2 linked regions of the Arabidopsis thaliana genome follow. The protein of the gene in region 1 interacts with the protein of each later gene in a pairwise test. Each region holds a gene or a part of one and is shown on either strand. Other genes may lie near its edges.

Evidence for each region. Proteins that work in one complex are often made in the same cells at the same time.
Region 2: the proteins of SCL3 (region 1) and AT3G52155 interact in binary tests that used the Arabidopsis thaliana proteins (3 or more experiments, as listed by UniProt).

What each region holds. Positions count from the first base shown.
Region 1 is NC_003070.9:18,677,172-18,682,079, reverse strand, and holds SCL3 (scarecrow-like 3), read left to right. Parts: upstream 1-1,779; 5' UTR 1,780-2,076; intron 2,077-2,317; 5' UTR 2,318-2,454; coding exon 2,455-3,903; 3' UTR 3,904-4,386; downstream 4,387-4,908. Other genes in the region: AT1G50410 (SNF2 domain-containing protein / helicase domain-containing protein / zinc finger protein-like protein), read right to left, coding at 4,715-4,819, 4,903-4,908. UniProt on the Arabidopsis thaliana protein: Probable transcription factor involved in plant development.
Region 2 is NC_003074.8:19,341,669-19,346,041, forward strand, and holds AT3G52155 (Phosphoglycerate mutase family protein), read left to right. Parts: upstream 1-2,026; 5' UTR 2,027-2,071; coding exon 2,072-2,255; intron 2,256-2,288; exon of another isoform or gene 2,289-2,305; coding exon of another isoform or gene 2,306-2,342; coding exon 2,343-2,442; intron 2,443-2,518; coding exon 2,519-2,698; intron 2,699-2,775; coding exon 2,776-2,893; coding exon of another isoform or gene 2,894-2,902; exon of another isoform or gene 2,903-2,979; coding exon 2,980-3,050; coding exon of another isoform or gene 3,051-3,054; exon of another isoform or gene 3,055-3,400; coding exon of another isoform or gene 3,401-3,541; coding exon 3,542-3,545; downstream 3,546-4,373. Other genes in the region: PSRP2 (RNA-binding (RRM/RBD/RNP motifs) family protein), read left to right, coding at 406-723, 812-913, 993-1,295, 1,384-1,422; KCS15 (3-ketoacyl-CoA synthase 15), read right to left, coding at 3,401-3,862, 3,948-4,373.

The DNA.
Region 1 (4,908 bases):
ATGCGATAGACATTCTTTTGCTGATTTGTATGCTATAGGTTTTCAAATCTCTAGCTACACTTATGTATTTCCCTAGATTATCAAAGTTAGCCTGCCGTTTTCTAATTTTATTATTTGATATTTTGATTATACTGCTTCTTAATGCATCAAATAAGTTGATTCATCCATCTAATATTTTAACTACATCAAATGAAGTCTTTTATAAGTACAGGCACTAATTGAACTTGAACCCTATAAAATACATGAATAATCACAAAGAATTGATAGTGTTCTTTCAGTTTTTCAATCACAAAGAACTCACCGACATTATCAAGTTGACTTCACTTTTAGACTTAATTGGTGTTCTGGAGGATCCACAAAACTACTATTACACAGTTTTCACAAAATTGTGATTCTTTATTTTTTATTTTCTTTGGTCAAACTAACATTTCATTCAACTTTAAACGAGAGTTGCCTCCACGTGGAGAGTATACACAAAAAGCTACGAGGACAAATGCTCAAACAAAAAGACATAAGAAGGGGAGCTCAGAAGCTCAACCCGAGTAGCAGCATCCAAAGTTGCTAAAACAGAACCATCATTTACTTCTGAGGCGGTCTTCGTACCAAGCTCCTTCAGCAAAATTGTGATTCTATGTTTGGATATCATGAGATCTAACTACAAAGTTTTTAATAACAAAAACTTACCATTCTCTAATTTGTAGTCAAAGCTAAACAAATTTCATACTAAAACAATTTTACTGTGTTGTTATGGATGCATATTTTTCTCACTTTATAGTACTATTTTACTATTGATAAGATGAAAAAAAAGTTGAGGTACAATAGTAGTAAAATAGCATCATTCTTTTTCTGTAGAATCTCTCTGGTCAATGGTCTTTTTAGTTTAAAAACTGAATAATGTTCTCTCTCACACAGTAAAAAACAAAGAGAGAGAGAAAGAAGAGAAGAAGACAAAAATGTAGGCATTAAAAAGAAGAAAAAGACAAAGAGAAAAGTAATGAAAAGACAATGAACATTTAAAGAAGACAGACAAATCCCACACCCAAGCCTCAGCCTCATCTCTTTTATTGTTATTTGTTTTTCTAACAAAACAACAAAAACAAAAGAGATGGTTTTTGGGTTTTGTTTTGTCTTTGTTAGGGCGTGTTTGGACGTTTCCTTCTTCTCAGAATCAATATTTTACCAAAACAGCTTTCTTTTTTTCTCTTTAACAATTTTTTTGATGTAGAAATATATAGTCATGATTCCAAATCCACCTCATGCCATGACAAAAACCCATAAAAGTGGAGGTTCCAATCTCGAATACAGACATATATGTTGTATTCGTGTATGTATCTATTATAAGATAATTCCAATTTGTATAATGCCAAATGGGTTCATTGAACTTCTTCTTCCTTCATAATTAAGTGTTGCTTTTTCTTCTTAGTTCCTCTAAATCAAGAAAATTCTAGGTGAAACTTCTCTTATCTTGACTTTATATAAAATAATAACTATAAAAATAATCAATAAGACTAATTCCTACAAGTCTTACAAATTTAAAAGAAAATGAAAATGCAACATTAGCTAATACACATAATAGTATAAGATTGATGGATGTATTCTTATTCAGTTTTATTTATAAATGCAACATAAGCTAATACACTCTCATTCAGTTTTATTTATTAATGTTACACCACTTTAAGAGCACTCAAAATCAAAATACGTATTCTTATATGATATTCATTCATGTAGTACTAGTACACATAATAGTATAAGATAGATGGATGGGATTGGAAAATTTGACAACCTTTTGTTTAATAATTCCTTAAAACCAAGGAAAGAAGAAAGAGGAAACGAAAAAAACAAAAAGGAAGAAGACAAAACCGACTATCACGCATTGTCTGGTACGTAGAGCCAAAAGGAACAATGCCTCTGTTTTAGTGTTTTCTTTCTTAAAGTTTTTTCCCAAAACACAAACAACATTTCACACACACGCTATTACTCACAAGATAACCACCAGAGACGTGGATAGAGAGATAAAGATTGAGAGAACCCTCTCACTCCCAAAAAAAAAGCTTTAGACATTTTCTCTAAATCCATGTAAGTTTTTTTCTTTGGTTATTGTTGTTTGTTATCTTCTTTGATCATTTGCTATTATTTTGTTTTGTTTCTTTCTTAGTTTATCAAATTAGGAAAGTTTTAATTCAGCTCTCTGTTTGTGTTTCTTCGTCTATATCTATTTCAAATAGTTTAACTAGATTCAAAGGTTTTTAAAATTCAGTACTTTCTCTGCAAACCCTAGTTCCTCTGTTCTTTAACCCCCTTTTTTGTTAAACTGCAGATTCTCTGCATCTTTCAAGAAATTCCGAATCGTGGGTTTGGTTCTTCTCGTTACGAGTCTCTCAAAGTTTAAATCTTTCTTTACAAAAAAGGTTACTTTTGGTTCTGAGTAAATCAAAATCAAGCTTTTGGCCTTCAATGGTGGCTATGTTTCAAGAAGATAATGGAACATCTTCTGTAGCTTCATCACCACTTCAAGTCTTCTCAACTATGTCACTCAACAGACCGACTCTCCTCGCTTCTTCATCTCCGTTTCATTGTCTCAAAGATCTCAAACCAGAGGAGCGTGGTCTCTACTTAATCCACCTCTTGCTAACTTGTGCCAACCACGTGGCTTCAGGTAGCCTCCAAAACGCTAACGCAGCGCTCGAGCAGCTCTCTCACCTCGCTTCTCCTGACGGCGACACGATGCAGCGAATCGCTGCTTACTTCACCGAAGCGCTTGCTAACAGAATCCTTAAGTCCTGGCCTGGTCTTTACAAGGCTCTTAACGCAACTCAGACAAGAACTAACAATGTCTCTGAGGAGATTCATGTTAGAAGACTCTTCTTTGAGATGTTCCCGATACTCAAAGTCTCTTACTTGCTCACTAATCGAGCTATACTCGAGGCTATGGAAGGAGAGAAGATGGTTCATGTGATTGATCTCGATGCTTCTGAGCCAGCTCAATGGCTTGCTTTGCTTCAAGCTTTTAACTCTAGGCCTGAAGGTCCACCTCATTTGAGAATCACTGGTGTTCATCACCAGAAGGAAGTGCTTGAACAAATGGCTCATAGACTCATTGAGGAAGCAGAGAAACTCGATATCCCGTTTCAGTTTAATCCCGTTGTGAGTAGGTTAGACTGTTTAAATGTAGAACAGTTGCGGGTTAAAACAGGAGAGGCCTTAGCCGTTAGCTCGGTTCTTCAATTGCATACCTTCTTGGCCTCTGATGATGATCTCATGAGAAAGAACTGCGCTTTACGGTTTCAGAACAACCCTAGTGGAGTTGACTTGCAGAGAGTTCTAATGATGAGCCATGGCTCTGCAGCTGAGGCACGTGAGAATGATATGAGTAACAACAATGGGTATAGCCCTAGCGGTGACTCGGCCTCATCTTTGCCTTTACCAAGTTCAGGAAGGACTGATAGCTTCCTCAATGCTATTTGGGGTTTGTCTCCAAAGGTCATGGTGGTCACTGAGCAAGACTCAGACCACAACGGCTCCACACTAATGGAGAGGCTATTAGAATCACTTTACACCTACGCAGCATTGTTTGATTGCTTGGAAACAAAAGTTCCAAGAACGTCTCAAGATAGGATCAAAGTGGAGAAGATGCTCTTCGGGGAGGAGATCAAGAACATCATATCCTGCGAGGGATTTGAGAGAAGAGAAAGACACGAGAAGCTTGAGAAATGGAGCCAGAGGATCGATTTGGCTGGTTTTGGGAATGTTCCTCTTAGCTATTATGCGATGTTGCAGGCTAGGAGATTGCTTCAAGGGTGCGGTTTTGATGGGTATAGAATCAAGGAAGAGAGCGGGTGCGCAGTAATTTGCTGGCAAGATCGACCTCTATACTCGGTATCAGCTTGGAGATGCAGGAAGTGAATGATATATTACAGTTTGTCTTCTATTTTGGTTATGAGCAGAGTCCCTTTCTTTTTTGTATACATGGGGACACAATCTTAGTTGTTTTGTGATGGTGACTTTCTGTCTCTTTATGCTATTTTGGCTTAAATGCTTCTACTGCCTCTGCATGTAAAGCCTTTGTGTGTTGGTTCAATTTGGTCTGGTGTGGGTGTAATACCAAACCAAATCCAATTTGAGCTGAAGATAACTAATTTGATGATCGGTTCAAGTTCAGAACTCCAAATTCTTTCAGAGACCAGCCAAACTTTGCCTATCTTTAAGCAGGTGATCTTGTCATTTGTGTATTGTAAATAACTTAAACTCGGTATATATATTTAGGTTACTAAAGGACATGTTCACTATCCAAAGAGTATACGACTTATCTGCTGTCCAAATACTTTGTAACCTAAAGTTCACGTGCTTCATTTACATTGAATCTAGTTTAACCTAATCTTCTTGCTTCATTTATATTTGAATTTTGTTTAAGCAATCTAGTCTTTATCTTGTCTTAGCAAATTCACAGAGTGTTTCTCATGCAAAAGTGTTGCATGATCAAAACACCTTGATAATAAGATTGAAAGAGTAATGTGATCCCAAAAGGAAAGAAGATCTCGGATGAACTGATTCAGAAAAAGTATATACTCTGATGTTATATATACTATGAGACAACAGCTAAGTTATTTACATATTTCCTCATTTCAAATCTGTGAACCTGAAGAACACAAGAATGCAGCTCATGATCAAAATTCTGAAAGAAGCGAAACTTCGCCAACCCAAGATTTAAGAACAGCTACACCATGAATAGATATTTGAGATCATCAACTGTTAATCGAGTTGCAGAGCTTCCACCATGATCTTCACCAAAGGCAGACGCAACCATTTTTCTTTTCTCTTCCTATAATAATAACCAAAAATCACACAACCACAAATGAGAGAAACTGAGGGGGGAAACAAGTATCAGCTATAAGGGATCTTTACCTGGAG
Region 2 (4,373 bases), on another chromosome or scaffold:
GTCTCTAGAGTCTAGACTTTAGAGGGACACTAGATTGAACTCGACTAACAACGAAGAATCATGGAGTGGATACATCAATTTCGATCAACCATTAATGATCATCACATACTTCATTTATGTTCATCTTCCATCAATGATGAAGATGAACAGTGGCCTGTAGTGATGTTGTCACTGGCCAAAACAGTGGTCAGGCGTAACCCGAACAAGTACCTAAGTGTATATCAACCCATTTAAGTTTAAGTCTGCGGCGTGAGAGACGGGTAAATGGGTAATGTTTCTAGGCCCAAATTATAGGCCTTAATAAGGCCCAATTATCCACACAGGTTAGAAGTGAGGACGGCTAATGGATAATGTTGACGACACTCGCAACTTCTTCCTTATCGACACCTACACTCTCCTGCTACAATGGCGACTTTCCTAACAAATGTTGTTTCAATCAAACCTACAATCTTCTCATTCCAGTCCGAATCCTTCACTCCTTTGCATACACGGGTCAATGTATTCTCCTCGAAACCCTTTCCTTCTCTCGCTGGAACTTTCTCCCGGAGCTCTAGAACGAGATTCATTCCTTATGCTGTAACGGAGACGGAAGAAAAACCCGCCGCTTTGGACCCTAGTTCAGAAGCTGCCAGGCGTGTGTATATCGGTAACATACCCAGGACGGTGACCAATGAGCAGCTCACTAAACTTGTTGAAGAACACGGTGCTGTTGAAAAAGTTCAGGTTTTTATTCATAACATCTCCTTCTTCTATTATTTCTTAGTTAGTTATCATCAAGATTTGTTATTTGATGTTGTGTTGATATCATCAGGTGATGTATGATAAGTATTCAGGAAGAAGCCGTCGATTTGGGTTTGCTACAATGAAATCAGTTGAAGATGCTAATGCTGTGGTTGAGAAATTGAATGGCAATGTAAGTTTTTGAACCCTTAACTGCTTCGTTCTATACATTTTAGTTCTGAATATGACAGAGCTTGTTTTTGGTTTCTCAGACCGTTGAAGGGCGTGAGATAAAGGTTAACATTACAGAGAAACCTATAGCATCATCACCTGATTTATCAGTTCTTCAGTCTGAGGATTCAGCATTTGTAGATAGCCCTTACAAAGTGTATGTTGGGAATCTAGCAAAGACTGTTACAAAAGAGATGCTTGAGAATTTGTTTTCTGAGAAAGGGAAAGTAGTAAGTGCTAAGGTTTCAAGAGTACCTGGAACTTCCAAATCCACCGGGTTTGGATTCGTTACGTTTTCTTCTGAAGAAGATGTGGAAGCAGCCATTGTTGCTCTTAACAATTCGGTAAGTATCTCTCAACTGTTCCATCTTCTTCGACTATAGAGTGTGCATAATCTTTTTGTCTCATTTTGTTGTTGGTTTTAAAATGCAGTTGCTGGAAGGACAGAAGATTCGGGTGAATAAGGCTTAGCCTATTGGATCATAAAGAATGTGAAAAGAATCGCTTTGAAGAGTTTTTGTAATGCAAATCATTAGAGCTTAGTGTATCATCTTGTATTCATTCTAAGTTGAAAATGAAACCATATCTTTTCAAAAGCTTATAGTTGTGGTAATCTTGTTTCTAGGCAGTGTAAACAGAGAACTCCAATGACATGAACAAGTCATGCTACATCCAATTCAGAGGTAGGGATGATAATGAAGATCCCCAAGCTAAATTTATCTCCACCAAGTTTCCTTTCCATAAATGTATCATACAATGTAAAATTGCTACTTGTGTGACTTGTGAGCTTTGGTCACTCAAAATTTCTTAATTTAGTGTCTACTTCTGTAGCTCTTCTGTTGCTTGTTATGTTGTAAGTTGATTGCAAATTTGCAACGGTCCTTGTTCGATGAGGAAGAACCAGAGCTTCGAGAAGCACTTGATTCTCATTGGACTTTCGTTGGCAAACTGATCAAAATCTCGACCAACGGTTCCTCAGAGGTCTCAAGTTCAAAACTTTTTCTCTCTGGGTCCTTACTTCTACCTTGGAACAACTGAGTACCGATCTTATCTTTAAATTTCACGGCGAAGGATTAGAAATAAAGAAATTACCTTTCTTTAACTAAAAATCAAGCCAGAGATGCTTAGCTTGCAGTGTCTTCCTCCTTTCTTCATCTCCGTCCCAAATCGGAGCACCAATTCTTGCTCCACGGCTCCACTTCGTGCGGTCAGTGACTTCGCTGCTTCTCCGTCGACCTCAATCTCTCGCCGTCTTATCCTTCTCCGTCACGCTCACAGTTCCTGGGATGATCTTTCCCTCAGAGGTACTCTGATTCTCCTCTTTCTCGCTCAAAATCGAAAAATCAAATCTTTAATGTCTCTCTTTCTCTCTGTCTGTGTCTTAACGATAGACCATGATCGTCCTCTAAGTAAAACCGGAGAAGCAGATGCTGCCAAAGTAGCTCAAATCCTCTCCTCACTCGGTTGGCTTCCCCAACTTATTCTCTCAAGGTAAGTTCCTTCTTCAAATTATCAGTTTTGTTTTTCATTTCGTGATTGAGAATTGTTGAAATCATTCACTTCACAGCGACGCCACTCGGACTAGAGAGACACTGAAGTCGATGCAGGCTCAAGTAGATGGGTTTATGGAGGCAAATGTACATTTCATTCCTAGCTTTTACTCCATTGCTGCTATGGATGGCCAAACAGCCGAGCATCTTCAAAACATTATCTCCAAATATTCAACCCCTGATATCTCCACTATCATGTTAGTTTCTCATCAATCTTTTTTGCTTCATCTTACTTGTGCTGTGTTATCATTTCTTATTTGATTGATACATATAGGTGTATGGGGCATAATAAGGGTTGGGAAGAAGCAGCTTCCATGCTCTCTGGAGCTTCTATTAAGTTGAAAACATGCAATGCTGCTTTGCTTCAGGCTTTTGGCAACTCCTGGGAAGAAGTTTGTTGATTCAATCCTTTTTTCAGATATGCATGAGCTCGCTTTTTCTTTGATTTGGAGCTAATTCTTTCTTTTGGCCATCACAGGCTTTTGCGCTGTCCGGGCCTGGTGGATGGAAACTTGAGGGTCTAGTGGCTCCAGATAGTAGCATCTTTGTGTAAGAGAATGGAACATTACAAAGCTTCAATTTTTAGCTTTTTCCATGGTTGCAACTTTTGCTCCTACAGTATGTCATTCTTCAACTTCATGTCTGTTGCATAATATATATAAAAAGGTTGCAACGTCTCATCCTTATGTGCATAATTAAGCTCAGTTTTTAGCTACTGAAACAGATGAGTAAATCAAGAGTAGATTGCGTCTCTTTATTGTTTGTTTACCTTATTAATGTAAGATCCTAGCATCAGGGATATGTTCAAATGCAATCACACTATTTGAATAAATTGTGGATTTTGCATTGGTGGGTTATTTTATTCATGTTATCATACAATTGTTAACTTTGATGAATCCTCAGAGATTCCATGGGTTGTTATGTCTTGGAGGGTCAATGTTTTTTAGGGCTTTCCATACAACACTATTGCATTTAAACCCTGACCCGAAACCGATTTGCCAAACCCTATCTCCTCTTTTCATCTTCGCCTTGTGTTCTAGGTAAGCCAGCTCGTACCATATACTGCTGCTTGATGTGTTCCCGAAACGCTCCAATGTCCGTCTTGATGCCTCCATATTCTCTTCTGTCAACTTGAGATCCTTATGAATGTCATCAAGTACTTTCTTACTCGATGCTAATACGCATATATGTTCAAAGGAAGGCTCAAGACGACCAAGCGTTGCAATGTTTGCTTTCAGTGCATGGCGCCCAACTTCCATTACATCTCTAGATACATATAGTCCTTGTTTCCCATCTCTGTCTTCTCTTAACTCTATGCTCTTGTAACTTGTGTCTTCCATGCCTTTATGGGTTCTTACTAGCTGTTTTATTCACCAGTTACAATGTCATCAGTCAAAACAAAGAACAGAGCAAGAGTAAATCAGAGTGTTTCTTTGTTCTTCTCACCTGCATAAGTTGGTATTTGGCTCGCCATCTGTCGATACGCCGACTAGATAGCATAACTGCAGCTGCTCCCATTCGAAAGAAGCAATTTGGTGGAAGCAACGCGACGTCATTACCTGAGTACCAAGTGAAGCTTACTATCTCAGTGCTCACCACCAAAGCGTAAGAGCCTTGATGAGCGTTTAAAAGATCTTTGGCTAAATCAATGGCTATGACTCCGGCGCTACACCCCATACCACCAAGATTGTAGCTCTCTGTGTTATGCCTCAGCTTATAATGGTTAATCACCATGGCCGATAGAGATGGCGTGGTGTTGAGGACTCCGCAGTTTAGCACCAGGATCTTGATATGCTTCACATTGATTTTGGTCGCTGCAAGAAGTTCATCAATTGCTCCAAAGATCACCATTGCTGCTTCTTCACGACCATC